2 linked regions of the Callithrix jacchus genome follow. The protein of the gene in region 2 interacts with the protein of the main gene of each other region in a biochemical or structural test. Links are inferred from orthologs where the notes say so. Each region holds a gene or a part of one and is shown on either strand. Other genes may lie near its edges. The genes, in order: NLK and MYB.

Evidence for each region.
Region 1: of the proteins of MYB (region 2) and NLK, one has a biochemical effect on the other in vitro, tested with the Homo sapiens proteins (2 studies listed by BioGRID, with this or other methods). The link is inferred for Callithrix jacchus from reciprocal best matches to the Homo sapiens genes MYB and NLK.

What each region holds. Positions count from the first base shown.
Region 1 is NC_133506.1:105,504,720-105,514,526, forward strand, and holds the start of NLK (serine/threonine-protein kinase NLK), read right to left. Parts: upstream 5,156-9,807; 5' UTR 4,021-5,155; coding exon 3,563-4,020; intron 1-3,562. UniProt on the Homo sapiens protein: Serine/threonine-protein kinase that regulates a number of transcription factors with key roles in cell fate determination. Positive effector of the non-canonical Wnt signaling pathway, acting downstream of WNT5A, MAP3K7/TAK1 and HIPK2.
Region 2 is NC_133505.1:141,906,911-141,916,198, reverse strand, and holds part of MYB (transcriptional activator Myb), read right to left. Parts: intron 8,154-9,288; coding exon 8,036-8,153; intron 5,963-8,035; coding exon 5,891-5,962; intron 4,054-5,890; coding exon 3,961-4,053; intron 3,718-3,960; coding exon 3,497-3,717; intron 1,229-3,496; coding exon 994-1,228; intron 1-993. UniProt on the Homo sapiens protein: Transcriptional activator; DNA-binding protein that specifically recognize the sequence 5'-YAAC[GT]G-3'. Plays an important role in the control of proliferation and differentiation of hematopoietic progenitor cells.

The sequences.
Region 1 (9,807 bases), on a different chromosome or scaffold from region 2:
TTACAAACCAAAACGCTAATTTTACAAAATAGCTTTTCCCAGACTCACTTTTACCAAGGTGGCAATATGTGTCATTAACTCCATCTCTGATATGTTAAGTGGCCAATGACAAAACTGCCTAGGTGTAGTGGCCCTCAAACCACTCTCAGGTGGTTAACTTCCTCCAACTTTCAACATTATATACTTCATGAGCCCCTGAAATTCTTTGTCCCAAAGCATTTTCCTCTGGCAAATGTGAACTACAGACAAAAAGGAAGATTTATATTACACTGACCAAGTGATTGAAGTTACTATTCGTGGGTTGTTTTGTTTTGTTTTTGCATTATGAAAATGTCCCTGTGGGTGTTTGGAAGCTGAGTTTCATAAAGACAGTCAAATTATATATGACATTTTGATAACCCATAAACAACATTCTATCAGTGGCAACAAATGTATCTCAGGCTATCCCACAATCACATTACCAGGTAAACTGGAACTCTTACTTTGAGATAAAATACAGCAGACAGTTGTTAATGAAACCTTAATTGAACTGTCATAGCACCATCTTTACCAGCAAGCTAATGAGTAATTCACTATTTTACACAACTGTCCAATACTGATAAGTTAGTCCACTAGTTAAATTCAGCAAGATAAATAAAAGTCAGCTTGACTGAATTGTTCAGTGATAAATCTGGTAAAATGCTGCATCACTTCTACAAATATCTCTCCTTGTCTACATGGAAAAACAACAATCCCTCTCAAAATTGCATGCTGCTTTTGTAGCCATCAGTTAGTACTGCTGGGTGTATGTCCCCAAGGAAATGAAGGCAAATACAGTTTCTTGTCATATGCTATGCCAGAAGGATACTTGCAAAACGCATTAAATGAATATATATTTGAATTAAATGAATCTTATAATACCCAGGTAGTTAGTTATATGGTGGTTTGAATCAAATGATGTATCACTGGGAGAAAATCTTTACGTTCCATTTTAATCATTTTAGAAAAAAAGTTGTTTCCAATTCATAAGGTGCTTTCTAAGTTAAAAACAAAAATTCTTTTTAATTAAAAAGTAAAAAAATAAAATAAAATTCAGTAATACCTTTACCTTGGGTTCCAGAAAACTAGTACCTGTAGTTTGGTTTTCAAATCTCTAAACAGTCTTACTTAGGTCATACAACAGTTAAATTTCAAATCTAATAAGCAATTCAGACAGGAAGTCACCGACATGTAAATATAAAAATAGGAAAGTATTTGCATATAAAACATACACCTGAAACTCTTTCCTTTTTCATACCAAATTGTATTTCAACTGTAATAGCTGATGAAAACACTCAATGCAGTTAACTAGAAAAACTTGGTTAAAAAAAAAAAGACACAAATCACGTGAGGACGCAGAGAGGGTGGCCATCTACAAGCCAAGAAGAGAGGCCTCAAAAAAAACCAAGCCTGCACCTAAATCTTGGATATCTAGCCTCCAGAACTATGATAGATAATTTTCTGTTGTTTAAGTCAAATCAAGGAAGGACCTTACTAGATCAATTAACCAAGCAGTATAGATGCTAAAGCACTGTGCTAGGTGCCAAGAAGAAAAGGATTACTACAATAGACAATCCTTACCCTCAAGGGGCTTACGAATGTACTCAGTGACACACGGCAAACCTGAAATAAGATGGTACTTAAAGCAGTACTTTAAGTACATGAGACAAACACCATAGGTCTTAGAGCAGTCAATCAATTAAAGAACTTGAAAATGGATTCAAATCAAATACATTTGGGCTTTCAGATATCAGTGATTCACAGTACCCACTAGCAAAATGTTTGCTGTGTGAGATGTTTCAGTACTCCAGTTCTTTATTGCCCCTTTCTTAAAAATAATAAAGTTTAAAAATCTTCTCTTGCCACCAACTTGAAGTGAAAACTGCTACAAGTTACATCACTTTTTGATAGACATGTAAGTGAAAAATGCCTTTAGAATATATTCAAGAATGCTGCAACCCTTTCAGTATCCCTAGTTTTTAACATTGCACATAAGGCACTAAAAAAGCAAGCAAGCATCCAGATCTAAGAAGATCCAAACAAGTGCTAAAAGTTATTAGTAAATCAATGACAAAATTTAAACCAAGGAACAGGAAAATTTAAATTTTCCTGTTTGCTCCATCCCCCAACCAAAGCTTGGAAATCCTCAAGAATTAGGCAAGGATAGGAAATTCACAGTAAAATCTCTGAGACAGTCTATGGAAGAGAAGAGAGGAAAGCAGGAACAGGCAGGTCCCTGAGCAAAATGACAGAGAGGCACCATTACCAGCTATGCTCTTTCCCACCTGGAATCCCACACACCTTGGAGAAAGGACCATGCTGCAGCAGAAACTTCCTTGCAGACTAGCTGAGCAAACACCAGACACTACTAGTTTAAAAAATGATGAGATCACTTAGTAGCCTAGATTATCAAATCTGAAATATAAATACGATGGCAAGTTAAAATGCATAAACGATGTGCCTATCATTTTTAGCCTCAAAAACAATGACAAAAGGGGATATTTACCAGGCTAGTTCCAAAGAGTTCATTTGCCTGTAGTAATGGGGGCTTTTTAGATAGTAACAAGAATCAATTTTGAATGCACTGAAAATATCAATTCATCTATCCAAAGTGCAATCATCAGTCCTTGGGAGAAAACAGTTCATTCTAGTTTTGATAGGAACAAACATATCTTATTATAAACTACTAATCCTTTTAAGGTTAAACCGAATAGATCATGTTTTAAGAAGCCCTTAGACTTTTACAAATATCCTAGCACTAGCAAAAGTAGTGTCATTTGTTTAAAAAGTATATTTCCTACTATAGCAACTGACCAACAGATAACAGCAACTTAAGAGGCACTAAATGACACTAAAACATTACACGGAATGTGGGCCACTGCATAGCTAGTCTACTAACCTCATTTGTGGTACTCATGTGTGATGCTATATTTAATGCATTCTTATCAAAAGGCTAAAGCTACATACTTCCCAACCGTAGCTTTATGGTTTAAAATAAAACCACTCAAGCAATGATCTTAACTGGTTCAACTATGAATCCTCCCTTTCTTCTGGCAATCAAGATCACAAAGTAAGGAGTGAAATGACAGAAAGGATAAGAAAGTTACACAAAGTATATCCTAAGGACAAGAGTATTATAAAGGAATTGAGTCTGGATCAGTTGCTAACGCTTAATCCCATTGGGCAACTGATCCAAAAGAAATCAAACACATGAGATGACCAAGACCTCTGTAGGAATTAGTATTCCATACATTCATCTACTGATCCTGTGTTCAGTAGCTTGCTTAGGTTCTAACAGAAAAGTTTGGTAGACAACAAACTTATGTGTGTTGCTCATTAGACGGTGATCCACCAAAACTTGCCATGAGCCTAGACAGCCGATGCATGAGGCCTCTTTACCACGTAATGAGGGTGGCTTCCCGCAGTTGGGTTGAGAAGCTTGCTCCACCTTGGTCAACATGGAGAAAACCATAAGGGATGGAATCACCCAATCGCAACCATCAGAAGAAACCATGAGAGGTTGTGTTCTTCTTTTGATACTCACCAGACAACACCAAAGGCTCCATATCCAATAGGTCTATCCGGTTCAATATCCAGCTGTTGTTGTGGATGATGCGAGTGCTGATGATGATGCGCCTTAACTGTAGCAGCTGCGGCAGCCTGTACCTGAGCTGGGGCTGCTGCAGCTGGTCCAGGAGCCTGCCCCGGTGCCGGTGATGGGAAATATGGCTGTTGTTGCCCAGGGTTTAACATGGCTGCAGCTGCAGCCGCTGCTGCGGCTGCCGCAGCTGCCGAAGAGGTGTGCTGCTGTACAGGGTGTACAGCGGCAGCTGACCCCGGATGAAGATGGTGTTGAGGGTGGTGGTGGTGGTGCAGGTGAGGAGGTGGGAGGTGTGGAAGGTGGTGGTGATGGTGGTGGTGGTGACCTGCTGCTGCTGCAGATGTACCGCCATTGTAAGCCGCCATCATTTTTGCGTTGGCTCTTGCGCCACAAAGAGACATTCAAAATAAATGCCCTTTGATTGGAAAGCAAACTGGGTCAAGCTGTCATTTGGCCATTTAAAAATGAAGAAAAACCACTCACTCCCCCTCAAAAAACATAGAGCGTAACTGGCTTTATGTCTTCATCAGTCAATCCAAACAAGTTAAGAGGATCTTGGTGTTTTAATTTTGGGGTGAGCGTGTGTGGAAGGGTGTGGACTGCCAAAAGGAAAAAAAGGAAAAAAAGAAAAAAGAAAAGAAAAAGGAAAAAAGGACCCCTTCCCCCCAGGATTCCTGCCACAAGTGGGTACTAAAACTCCATTCTTAATTCGGGGGAGGTTCCAACTTTGAATGTGGGAATAAAGGCCAAACCTCCCGACCCCCTGAACTCCACACACGAAAAGGATCTGGTAACACACCACCCTTGGAATCTTGAAAGAAGGTTGACTCATCTACCCCTTCCATTCCCACATCCTTTTCTAAACACCTACCACCTCCTCAAAAACACGATTAAAAAAAATTCCCACCACCCTAAATGGAGAAGATAGGGGGAAATTATCTGGGAAACCAGCTTCCAGCTTCCAGCTTCCCCCCCCTCGAACTCTCAGGCCTTCCTACATCTCCCCCTATTCCTAGTCAGGTTGACCTGATTGGGGAGGGGGGGGCGGGGGGTTCTAAACTTTCCTGGGCAGAATGAGCCAGGAAAGGAGGCTGGAGTGTGGAGAGAAGGCGACAGCAGGACAGAGAGAAGAGCGAGCCGGGGCAAAAGTGAAGGGAAGGAGGTGCAGGGAGGAATGAAAGAGGTGGGCAGAGCTCGGACGCCCAGACAGAGGGAACCGCCCCGGGAGAAGGTTAGGGTCCCGGGGCCAAAGAATAGGAGCCCCGGGAGGCGGGCGGGGTACGGTCGGAAGCGGGCTGACTCCTGCCCCCGCCGCCGGCTGCTTCTGCTGAGGGTTGGGGGGGAGAGCGGGTGGGTCCCCCGCGCGACGGCCCCGCAGGGCTCAAGGCTGCTCCGTCTCCCCCCCTCCCCCCCACCCAGCTTCCGTCCCCGCGGCCGCTTTCTCCTCAGCCGCCGCGGCCACTTTCTCCTCAGCCGCCGCCTCCTCAGCCGCCGGTGCCGCCGCGGCCGGACTCACCTCCCCTAGCAAAGCCGGATAGAGCGGAGCCAGCGGCGGACACGCGCAACCAGCCGCCGAGGCCCCGCCCCCGCCTTGCACTGACCGGCTGCCCTAGCCAATCCACGCCCACCTGTCCGCAACTGCCTCCAATCCTGGACCATTAGCTTCAGACAGGCGCACTGTTCGGCCAGTGGCAACAAGGTGTGGGTCTTCTGGGGAAATCCCGCCCCCGATGCGGGATGGGCAGATAGAAAGACCAATCAAAGAGAGACTTTGGCTTGACCGACAAAGCGTAAAGCCAATTCAAAACCAAAGATCTTTGTGACATTTTTCTCTCGCCTCTCTTTTCTTTTTCTTCTTTTATTTATTTATTTATTTTTTTTGGCAGGAGCAGGAAGCTGCGTGCTAATCCCGCCTGCAAAAGCTGGAAGAGAGGGGCAGAATGAAAGAACCAATCATGAGCCGGAGACAAAGAACAGAGCAACCAATCCTTGGGTTGAAAATGAAGGGGGATAGAACCTGGGCCAGATAGACACTTGACTTGACAAATGGAAATAAAAGATTGATGTAAGTCCCGCCCTTTAGCTCTCCTATAGAACAGGATTGTGGAGAATTTGCTGTCATAATGAGACAACCTCTTCAAGGGGCAGGACTTGGGGAAAGGGGTGGGGTCTTGAAGTGGGCGGGACCTAGATGAAGAAGGCGGAGTCCAAATCACTGGTCCATTGATCTGTGCTGTCTAATATCCCATTTAATATGTAAAGTGTGAGGAAAGAAATAGGGAAAGAAAAAGGGAATGTCTGAGGCCAGGCGCGGTGGCTCACACCTGTAATTCCAGCACTTTGGGAAGCCGAGGAGGGTGGATCACGAGGTTAAGAGATCGAGACCATCTTGGTCAACATGGTGAAACCCCGTCTCTACTAAAAATACAAAAATTAGCCGGGCTTTTGGCACACACCTGTGGTCCCAGCTACTCGGGAGGCTGAGGCGGAAGAATCGCTTGAACCCGGGAGGTGGAGGTTGCAGTGAGCCGAGATTGCGCTACTGCATTCCAGCCTGGCGACAGAGCAAGACTCTGTCTCAAAAAAAAAAAAAAAGAAAGAAAGAAAGAAAAGAAAAAGGGAATGTTGAGCTTCGGAAACTCAAGGTGCAAGGTCACCCAACAAGAAGATAGTTACAAAAGAAACTCAGTAGACTGACAGTTCATAGTCTACGGCTGGTCCTCCATGGTTAATCCTGATGTTGGCAAAAAGTGGAGGAATCTCCAACATTCAGAAACCCATTGTCAACAGATGATAAAGCTGTTGGTGCAAATTTTTAAAAGTAAACTTGACCACAAAAATGACAATTTTCTTTCATCTTTCTTTCTTAACAGGGTCGCATTCTGTCACCTAAGCTGGACTGCAGTAGTGCAGTCCTAAATCAATGCAGCCTCCAGTTCCTGGTTCAAGTAATCTTCCTGCCTCAGCCTCCCAGATAGTTGGGATTACAGATGTGCACCCCCATGACCGGCTGATTCTTTAAGTCTTTAGAAACACGGTCTCAATATGTTGCCCAGACTGGTCTCAAATTCTTAGGCTCAAGAGATCCTCCTGTCTCCCACCTCGGCCTCCCAAATTTCTGGAATTACAGGCATGAGCCACCACCCCTAGTCTCTTCCATATTTTCTATCAAGTAAGTTTCTGTCATTGAAAGCTTACTAAAATAGCATGTTTCCTTTACATCACTTCACTTATCTGAATTTATCCTTCTTTTAAATGTAAAATAATAAGCTTACAGAAACTTATCCCTACTCAGAAACTTGGAGGTCATCTTCAATCCCTCCTTTGCCTGTCCACATTGTCCCTTCCAATCAATCAATCATCAAGTCTTTTTTGTTTTGTTTTGTTTTGTTTTCTGAGACAAGATCTCTGATGCCCAGTCTGGACTGCAGTGGTGTGACCACTGCTCACTGCAGCCTCCACCTCTTGGGCTCAGGTGATCCTCCCACCTCAGCCTCCGAAGTAGCTGGGACTGCAGCATGCTCTACCAACCCAGCTAATTATTGTTTTTGGTTTTTTTTTTGTAAAGATGGGGTTTTGCATGTTGCCCAGGCTGAATCACCAAGTCTTAAACAATTTTAAATCTCCCTCACTTCTGCTTCTTCCCAGTCACACAGCATTTACCCAAATTTACACCACTAGCATCTTTAACGACTTCCCTGCCTACAAGCTAGCTCTGCTTTGATCCATCCCTCTAGGGAGCATAATAAACTTTGAAAAATGGAAATCTGACTGGGCGTGGTGCCTCATGCCTGTAATTCAAGCACTTAGGAGGCCAAGGTGGGCAGATCAATTGAGGTCGGGAGTTCAAGACCAGCCTAACCAACATGGTGAAACCCTGTCTTAAAAAATAATAATAATAAAATAAAATAATTCAAATCTGAGACCTGATTGCAGGTGAAGTGCTCACACCTGTAATCCCAGCGCTTCGTGAGGCCAAGGTGGGTGTATCCCTTGAGCTCAGGAGCTCGAGATCAATCCAGGCAATGCAGCAAAACCCTATGTCTACAAAAAATACAAAAATTAGCGGAGTGTGTGGTACACATGTCTCTAGTCCCAGCTACTGTGGAGGCTGAGGTGGGAGGATAACATGAGCCAGGGAGGTAGAGGCCACAGTTAGCTGAGATCCCACAAGTGCACTCCAGCCTGGGTGACATGGGTGACAGTAAGATCGTGCCTCAAAAAAAAAAAAAAGTCTGGCTGAATCCCTAAATAGTCTGGCAATGATCTGGTTCCTGCTACCTATCTCAAGGGTCTTATCTCTCTCCTCCACCCTCTACATTTCAGACATTTTGAACTTCCTGCAGCTCCTTGTATGCTTTCAAGCATTCATGCATATCTTCAGCCCAAAACACTTCCCACCCACCCTCCACTCCTCTAATTCATCCCTCAGGTCTTCATGTAAATTTTACTTTTATTCCTGGAAAGTTCTCTCTAACTCTGTTCTAGAGTATATGTTTCTGTTGTATATCTCCATGACACTGCTTCCCTCATATTCTATATTTTAATTGCTTGTTGAATTTGACCAGGACAGAGAGCTTGTCTGTCTCACTCCATGTTGTATGCCCAGTTCTTTAGGACAGTGCTCGAAAAAGGAGAAGACACTTGCTACAGATTTGCCTGAATTGCTGAGTGCAGAAGTGGGTACAAACCCAAGCTCTGCCATTTACTTACTCTATAGCTTAAGCAACTTAACTAACCTTTCTCAATCTCAGCTGTGTCAACAGAAATAGCAATACATGACTCATCAGGTCGATATGAGGACTAAATGAGGTGATGTATTTAAAAGTGCTTGGTAAATAGTGAGAACGAAATATAAATTATCTTCAACACTTACCCTCATGTAATATTTGAGATGCCTTTCCAATTTTCCAATACACAGCACTCTTCTCCAAAGTGTAGTTTCCTAAAAGCTTCTTAGATGTACAGCAAATTATCTGGTGAAACCAGGACCTACTGAATTGCGGGAGGAGAGGAGGAATCTGTTTAACAAGCTCTCCAGGTGATTCTTATAAACGCTAGAGCTTAGGAAGCACAGGCCTAGAGTAAAGGAGCTTAGTCTTCATAAACTTTATTTTTCAGCACTTAGTATACTACTATTATAACACATAGAAAGTGCTTGATACACATGAAATGAATTAATTAATCTAATCCATGAGAAAACAATTTCACATCAAGAGTTATTTATTCCTTCCACAAACGTGTTGATCACTGATTTTTTTTTCTTTTCTTTCATTCTTCTTTTTTTTTAATTGCATTTTAGGTTTTGGGGTACATGTGAAGAACATGCAAGATTGTCACATAGGTACACACATGGCAGCGTGATTTGCTACCTTCCTCCTTTTCACCTATATCTGGCATTTCTCCCCATGCTATCTCTCCCCAACTCCCCACCCCCCACTGTCCCTCCCCTATTTCCCCCCGACAGACCCCAGTGTGTGATGCTCCCCTCCCATGTCCATGTGTTCTCGTCATTCAACACTCACCTATGAGTGAGAACATTCGGTGTTTGATTTTTGGTTCTTGTGTCAGTTTGCTGAGAATGATGATCTCCAGGTTCATCCATGTCCCTATAAAGGACACGAACTCATCGTTTTTTTATGGCTGCATAGTATTCCATGGTGTATATGTGCCACATTTTCCCTGCCCAGTCTATCATCGATGGGCATTTGGGTTGGCTCCAGGTCTTTGCTATTGTAAACAGGTTGAACACTGATTGTATCTAGGCATGGTGCTAACGTCAACTGTGGGGGAGGGGAGATAGATATACAGATGCTCCAGGACCCATGCTGAGGCTGTATCGCAATAAGCCCATTGTACATTGAAAATGCATTTAATACCATATCCTACTGAACATCGTAGCCTAGCATACCTTAACGCACTCAGAACACAGACACTAGCCTACAGTTCCGCGAGATCATCTGGCACAGTCTATTTTATAATAAAATGTTGAATATCTCATAATGTATTGAATACTGTAGTGAAAATGAAAACCAGAATGGTTGAAAGAGTACTCAAAGTACACTTTCTACTGAATGGGCATCACTTTCAAATCATAGTAAAGTGGAAAAATCTTAAGTCAAATCATTATGAGTCAGGGATCATCTGTATTAAAGTCTCTGTCCCCAGGAGCTCTAAGTCTCTCTGAT
Region 2 (9,288 bases):
ACAATGAAAAAATAAAAAATATAATCTAAATACATGAATGAATGTTTGAAAATAGTTTCTATGGGAAAAACTAATGGCACCAGCTGTGTGTAAATAAAAATATTTTTCTTGGAATAATTATGAATTTTAATAAAAAGCACAGAACTTCTTATGATAATGTATTCATCTGAGACCTTTCTGTAAAGTTTGTAGTCAAATGCATGAACAGAGAAGAATAAAAACTATTTATGAACATGTTTTGCATAGAATTTGCATATAAGCCTACCCATTCTTGGGTAAGTTTCATCATTTATTATTGTTAGTCTTAAGATTAAAGCTTCTCGATTTCTTTTCCTCTTTTTCTTTTCCCACCTATTATGGATTATCTCTTTCTCTAAATAAAAACATCTAGAAATAAGGAAGGGATCACACTGATCCAAAGGAGACTAAGAGGAGGCATCAGAAAATGAATGTCACAAAGTTCTGCTCCTGACTTAGAATAAGAGGGTAAACACTTACTGAGTGAATAAATCAAGACATGTCTGCTAGATCATTACCAGAACTGAATATACCATAACCACTGAATTTCACTGTCAAACTCTTTAAATATATCTTTAAATATATCTTTCCTTTTGGTTTTGGTAGAGAAAAGTGTTACATCTACAAATGCAACTCCATTCCCTTATTCTTCAACCGTACCTTAAGTACATTTACATTCAAAGGTTACCTTCAAATTAGATTTGAAGCAGCAAGTTAGAATTCTAGTCAACACTATCTCTATGTCACCCTGAGCAAAGCACTTACCATCTTCATTTCTGAAGACATAAACCAGTGATAACAAACAATATCTACACCCTATCTACCTCATGATCATGCCCAGGAAAGTTGAAGACGACTGGCCATGATCATGCCCAGGAAGGTTCTCTGAACAGTATACAACTGCAAAATATGATTACTACCTGGAGCTAAATTAACCATCTCTCTCATTAAACCAGATTCTCAAGAATGGCTTACATTTTGTGCTTCAGAAATGTGGTAATAGGAATAGTCATTGTTAACGGAGGGCTGGCCAGTTGCAGGGAGTTGAGCTGTAGGTGGAGCCTGAGCAAAACCCATCAAATGACTGTTCTTCTGGAAGCTTGTGGCCACTGCTGGCTGGCTGGCTTTTGAAGAGTCCTGCAGATAACCTTCCTGTTCGACCTTCCGACGCATTGTAGAATTCCAGTGGTTCTTGATAGCATTATCAGTTCTGCACAGAAATATATCACATACAAATTTCACAAACAAAAAATTTCAATTCAGATTAAAGTGAATTGACAGAAAACTGTTTCTAACACAGACCTTTCCCTTGGGCCCAGTCATAGTTTTCCCCCTTTTTAATGGTTTTCTTCTTCTCCACCCCCTAAGATCAGGCTTTCTCTATTGCCTTGTTAGAAATCCATAGATTTCTCTTAGTTACACAATCTGGAATGCACATCGTTTTCTAGAAATGTCAGTATCTTTTAACCATTTCATTTCCTTGGTAAAGGAGTATTTTCAATACAATGACGCTTCATAATTATTCTGACCGTTTGTGGTACAAGACTCTAACACAATGTGAAGTTCCAGCTGCTTTGAAGAAATTCCTTCTTTGAATGCAGCACAGCAGGGCCTACACACCACAATAGGGACACGGTGAAGTTTGGTGGGTGATAAGATGCTGCTGATGAAGAATACTTCACTCTTTATCTCTCGAAGGACTAGCAAGAACTTTTGAGACCAAAAAACCTCCTACCCTTTAAAAACCACCCCAATTGTTATTCCAATCAGACAGAGATGAGGGTGGAAAATGGCATTCCCAAGGGAAAGATCCTAACCCCCGCAGTATAGTTTCAAACAGCAACGCCTTTTTACTAAAGTCTTTCCATTCTCAGGAAAAACAGTTTCTCAATTCAAAAAAACCGTTTAAGCCTCCCTTTTACTATTTCAATGGGGGTGGGGGAATGCATGCTAAAGAAAGAGGAAGTTCGATAGCCTTGTTAATTTTGAGAAGAATCAGCAGTGTATCCTCTGAGGCCATATGGGAATGAAGACCTCTTTTTACCAACCTCTTGAATTTTCTAAGTTTATACTGAACCACGAGGGTGCAAATGCATTGGAGCATCACTGGAGAATACTACATAAACTTTCTCCTGGATTATGAAGCTCAAGAATAAAACTATTTTTAATATTTTCTATCTGTATCATTTTTATGCAAAATTTATCATTAAAAGTACTGCTTTCCAGAGTAACAAAATCTGTTATATACTATTTAAGTGGGAAAATGGGACAAAAATGAGCTTCCATAGTTATCTCTCATAATGAGGTCATTTCTTTGCCTTGTTCATTAAAAAGAAAGCATTATTATATTGACATTTAAAATCCTTGAAGTAGTATGAGAATTCGAGAAATACCTTATTTCTTTAATCAATGGAGTAAAAAATTAAGCAAAGTGGTATAATAAAATGAATATTGGTGGCCAGGTACAGTGGCCCATGCCTATAATCTCAGCACTTTGGGAGGCAAAAGGATTGCTTGAGGCCAGGAGTTTGAGACCAGCCAGGGCAACACAGTAAGATCAACTCTACAAAAGTGTTTTAAAATCAGTTGGGTGTAGTGGCGTGCACCTGTAGGCCTAGCTACTCAAGAGGCTGAGGTGAAAGGATCCCTTGAGCCCAGGAGTTCAAGGATGTATTGAGCTATGCTCATGCCCCTGCACTCCAGCCTGTGTGACAGAAGAAGCCTCTGTCTCTTAAAAAAAAAAAAATTAAAGAAATGAACAAGGCCGGGTGCCGTGGCTCACGCCTGTAATTTCAGGACTTTGGGAGGCCGAGGCAGGTGGATCAAGAGGTCAGGAGATTGAGACCATCCTGGCCAACAGGGTGAAACCCCAGCTAATCCAAAAATGAACTGGGCATGGTGGCATGTGCCTGTAGTCCCAGCTACTCAGGAGGCTGAGGCAGGAGAATTGCTTGAACTCGGGAGGCAGAGATTACAGTGAGCCAAGATTGCACCACTGCACTCCAGCCTGGGTGACAGAGCAAGACCCTGTCTCAAAAAAAAAAAAAAAAGAATGATGGTTATCAGGAAAATGGTGGCTGAGTTCCTCTGAGTCACTTAACCAGCTATGTGAACTCAGCCAGAGACAAACTGCCTTCAGTTTCTTTCTATGCATTTAGAGTTTTATAATTTACCAAGTCCTTTGACATTCATTTCACTTGATCCTAACACTGGCCCTGGTGTGAGTCATTTTGGAAATAGGGAAATTGGGGAGAGTTAAATGTCTTTACCCTGGGCTCACTGTCAGGTGGATCCCGAAAGTTCTCAACCAAATAAACTCTAAGATGTCTTCAGTCTCTAAAAGCTATGTAGCTGGGCTATCTAATAAAACACTTACGACTGATGAAATTTAATTCACTCACCATACATTTTAAGCAGAATGTCCAATACCCACTCCCTCATTCTTCCCGATCAATATATTTTTTTGACATATTATTACCGTCCAGGCAGTAGCTTTGCGATTTCTGCCCATCTGTTCCCCAGTCTCTTGTGTGCCTGGTAAATAATTCTGTCTTCCTCTTCTGTCCAGGAGGTTTTCTTAACTTCTGGATTCAAGTGGTTATGCCACCTCTCCCTACATTGTTTTCCAATTCTCCCCTTTAAGTGCTTGGCAATAACAGACCAACGTTTCGGACCGTATTTCTGTACAAGCTCTATCACCTTCAGATAAACACACAAAAATAACCTATGTTTTAATGTTATGTAATGAGTTAGTATATTCATTCTTCAGTGTTACAAGATCTTTAGAAAATTTCCAAAATTTGCTTTCATTCATTGGAAATATGGGAAGAGAGTCCTCTACTTCCTGTTTGCCCATTTTACCTGCTTCCTCAAACAGAAAAAATTCAGCATTTGGGGAATATTCTTAATTATGATTCACACACCAATGAAGAAAGAACTTACTCTCTGATCTTCTTCTTTGGTCCAAGGACCCTTGATGAGCTCAGGGTTTAATACTTTCTGCCATCGGTGCTGGCACTGCACATCCGTTCGATTCTAGACAAACAGAGTACCATAAAGATATGAAGTGATAAGCACATGAATTCATTGTTGTCACAGAGTCACACACAGACCATATGCCGTGAAAATATTTAAGAACATTTTAGAGCATGCTTAGAGCTCACCTATCCCTCATTATTTACAGACTACAGAACATGCAAGTAATCCATCAAAGTTGCTCTAAGATTATACATTCTGCCTCCTGAGGGAAACAGTCCTGCCGCATGAACCAAAGGACCATCATACTACACACGCACCTGTCAACTTAACCTTAACCTGAGATACATCTGCAGAGTATCTACATGGCCTAAGGCTTGATAGAGATTCTACATTGTCAGGCTTTCATGGAAACCCACCCTAAATGACTAAAGTTTGCTTCCCATTCCAACAAGAGATGTGCTTCAGTTCAGGACCACGGTATTTATATTGCAGAAGGAATAAAGATCCATAAAAGACAGTTCCTATGTTACAGGAGCTTGTAATCTTTTAAGAGGGAAAAGACAAATAGATGACTGATTATCACAGAGGCTGAATTTGATTCATATGGAAGAAAAGACCAAAGCAAAATGATACTGAAGTGAGGAGAGAAGCATCTTCTTAGGAGGTGAAATGGTTTCCTTGAGAGGAGTCTGGAAGAGCTCTTCATAAGGACTTTGAAGGATGAACAAAACTTTAATTGGTGATGTAAAAGGAGAACATTCTAGGAGGTGGGAACACCAGGAGCAAAAGCCCAGAGGAGGGAAAGCAGAAATAAATTCAAGCAAACCTGCTTACAGAGAGGAAGTAGGAAACAGAACTGGAGCTAGAAGTTGGGGCAATAGAGGAGGGCCTCTATGTGCCAGGTCAAGGCAGTTTACTTAATTTGTGAGTTCTAAGTCACTGTGGTTCGTTTTGAAAAGATAAGGTACAGCTGCATTTTAGGAAGTCCCACCTGCCAATGGTGTTTGGGATGGATGGAAAAGTAGAAAACTGGCCAGGCACGGTGGCTCACACCTGTAATCCCAGCACTTTGGGAGGCTGAGGTGGGTGGATCACTTGAGGTCAGGAGTTTGAAACCAGCCTGACCAACATCGTGAAACCTTGTCTCTACTACAAATACAAAAATTAGCCAGGTGTGGTGGCAGGTGCCTGTAATCCCAGCTAAGGTGGAGGTTGCAGTGAGCCGAGACTGTGCTTCTGCACTGCAGCCTAGGTGACAAAGCTAGTCTCCATTTCAAAAAAAAAAAAAGAGAAAGAAAGAAAAATGGAAAACTACAAGTGGGGAAGCTAGTTAGGAAGTTGTATGATAGTCCAAATGAGAAGGCAGAAGCCCAACCTTCAGCACAGCCATGAGAATGTAAAGGACGGGATTGACTATAAAGGAATTCCAGGATCCTTAGTAACTGCTTGGATGTAGGGGTTGGGGGTATGCACTAAGTTAAGAAAGGTCTCCAGAATTTTAAACCCTGGTGCCAAAAGTATTGCTATTGACAAAAACAGGGAATTCAGGAAAAACTGACTTGGAGGAAAGAACAAGTTTAATCATCTACCACGTAACAAATTATCGAAATACAAATTAACCTATACATGAAAAGATAAAACAAGAAGCAATTGTTTTTAAAATTCAACAATCTAAATTATAATAATTGATTCTAATAATCTAAATTCCAATAATCAATTTAGAAATCCCAATTATATGCATTATAATATAAAATGTAAGTTATGGGTAAGGCATTTCTCCTACTTCTTAAATGTGAGCAAATAATATACTATCTTAATAACCCCTCCTAGAATATTTTATAGAAATCACTGGGAGAAGCTTTCCTTTTGTAATAAGAAAAAGTTACTAGCTTACCGGGAGAAAATTGGCAATAACTTTCCAGTCATCTGTTCCATTCTGTTCCACCAGCTTCTTTAGTTTTTCATCCTATGACATTTAAAGGTAATCCTAGGATATCAGTCATTTACTATATAACTCTGTTCAAGTTAAAGTGAATGAGGGAACGAATCCAGAATAGAAAATCTCTCAAAAGTATCCAAATACAGCAGGTATTAATGTAATATACTGACTTGGGAGCATATATTTAGTCAGACCAGAGTTTGGCATCTTGACTCCACTACTGATTGTGTAAAGTGGGTTTATCATTTTCCCTTTCTGTGCCTTAGTATTGCCATCTATAAAATGGAAATTAACAGGGTTATTTGGGGATTAAATGAGGCAATTTATTAACATGAGGCTGATATTAACAGGGTTATTTGGGGATTATATGAGGCAATTTTGCAAACACTTATCATAATGCCTGGCATATAGTGTGTGTTTAATATACAAATAACTGCTTTACTCTGTGGGGAAAAATGCATGCCAATGCTTTATTCAGTACATATTTACCTACAGCAATAAATAAAATCTTGAGCAAGAAATAGAATATTTCCAGTTATTTTAACCCTTTATACAGAAATGAAGATCATTTTTAAAATTAAACTTGAAGACTAAATAAAATCATTTAGTTTTTGCACCAATATATTCACAATATAAATGAGGCCAAATGTGTTAGAACATAAAAGACACTCAACATTTGCAGGTAATCAGTTCTTTTAGTTTATATGCTGTTCATAACCTACCAGTTCATAAGTGTCTTTAAAAAATGTATTCCTTCTTATATTTCTGCAAAGGTAACATTCATACACAACGAAGGTCCCTGGTACCATACCATACACAAGAATTAGGAAGCCAATGGGGACAACAGAATTTCCAGAGCACAAGGATTAACCAAGTGCACATGCTTAATAGGTAAAATGTGAATTTCCTATGGACCCCTCTGGGAATCCTACCTGCCTGTCAAAAGGAGCTCTGGTTTAAATGAAGCAGAGCACAGTGAAACTGAAGATGAGCCAATACCATTTATTGTAACAAGAATCATCTAAAATTAGTTGCAAAAATGTCTAAGAACATTAGAGAAACTTTTCTCCACATATTATTAATTTTGCTTCTGAAGTATTTTTCCATTCCTACAAAATCAAACTTTTGACAAGCTAGCCGAAAAAGAAACAGGGGAAGCAGATGTGTCTTCATCCATTACTGGACGCTTTTAGAGCATACCTTCATATATATGGCTCTGTGAAATATATCAAAGATCTTAAATGAATACATTGTAAAAAGATGAGTTCTCTGAGTATCCTTTTGTCTATTTTGTTTTAGGGAAAGTAAGTCATTCACTATTCAGAGAACATTTATTAATATCCTACTTTGGGTCAAGCACTTGTGAGTTCAGGAAACACAAAGATTAACAGACATTTTAGCTGGGCATGGTGGTGCAGGCCTGTAGTCCCAGCTACTCGGGAGGCTGAGGCAGGAGAATTGCCTGAACCCAGGAGGCCGAGGCTGCAGTGAGCCAAGATCATGCCATTGCACTCTGGCCTGGGTAACAAGAGTGAAACTCCGGCCCCTCAAAAAAAAAAAAAAAAAAAAAAAAAATATATATATATATATATATATATATATATATATGTGAAAAAAGGAAAAAAAAAGTGAATAGATGTTGAGTCCTGCCCTCAACAGACTTGCAGTCAGCTAGAGGAGGCATCTATGTCCCAGCAACAATAAAGCAGAACATGCACTCATGCATGGGCTCACAGGAGGATGCATCCAGTCCTTCCCAGTGAAGCCAGGGGTGGCTTCACAGAAGAGGTGATGCCTTCATAGGCAATGTAAAAGCAGGAAGAAGAGATGGGACAAAAGAATGAGAACTCAACAGGCAGAAGGAAACATAGACGAAGTCTAAAATGAGAAGAAGAAGACGACATTCAAAGAACTGCAAATAGTGTGGAAATGGATAATATAATTGGGGGCGGGGTGTAAGGCACGCTGTACATGCAGGCTAGGATAAGATATCAAAGAGCCTGCTAACGAGCTGGAGCACCTGTAGTTTAGTTGAAATTCTGTTTTGTATAAATTATACACTCTATCTGTTTTCCATGTTTTGATAAAATGATCAGTTACCTCTTCCCGAGTCCACCTTGTTTTCCCCAAGTGACGCTTTCCAGACTTGGGAAGCAGCCCATCATAGTCATGATCACACATCTCAAAGTCCTCATCATCCTCGTCACTGCTATATATGCTGCAGAAATAGGAATGGGCAGATGTGGGCTGAAACATGAGGATTTAGACTACTACTGGATTACAAAACTTCCACAAAAACTCAATAATCTTTTCAAAGGTTACAAAGGTAAAACTTTGCAAACTTGCACAACAAGATTGTTTGCTGCATTCTGTTGCTCTAGTATTGTAAACTGGTTCTGCTGTTATGGGTATCCACAGATACAGTCAAGGACCTGGCACCTTCCTATTCCCCTGCATGTCTGAACCTGCTGTTACTGTTAGACCAGGGACAAGTTACACATTTGGCCACCTTCCAGCCAATGAAGTTCAAAACTTAAGGTTAAGGACAAGAAAAGGAACGAGAACCCGTGTCCTTTCTTTAAGTACACACTCAAAATCTTTGGCATTTGTCACATTGTTTAAATATTTCTCAAACATAATAAACAATTCAATTATGTTATTTCAATGGGGCTTTTGTTTTATTAAAAGAAGAAAAAAATCAAGAAGCAATACACCCCCAAACATAATTATAGTCATCCCATAAAGTCTAGAAGATTAGGAGAATCTAAGAGGAAAGGATTTTAAAACCTAAGGAAAGATAAGAACATGAGTGATCAAACTTCAGTGTTTTGTAAATAAAATTAATACCAAATTGCTCACAACTCCGGGCCTAGTTGATCCAAGTTGTGCCCATGTTTACAATACTTAGTTTCTAGAGTAACTAAGTGAATAATTAGGCCACCTGTTAGTCAGAGTCTTACTTACTCTTTTGCTTTTTCTGTCTCTGACAGAACGGTGTTTGAAATACTATAAAATGTGACCTAATTCAGAACTAAGGGATTTCCCCAGAAGAAATCCATGGATTTAAAAGAACCCATTACTATTTTCAAAAGAGCTTTTTCTCTTTTTTAGTTAACCAAACCTAGGAAATTTGATGACTTTTAAAGTAACTCTGTGCTTACTGTTTACTAATCATATACTGATTAGATGACAATAATTTTACAGACACAGTTTGTTTTATAGTTTTTCTTGTAAGACTTAAATAGGAAAAATACTATCTTAGAACCTTCACTAAAATTTGTCATTGCAATGTTGAGAAACCCATCAAACCGAGACCAATAAAAAAATGATGTAAAGCAATATCGTAATATAAT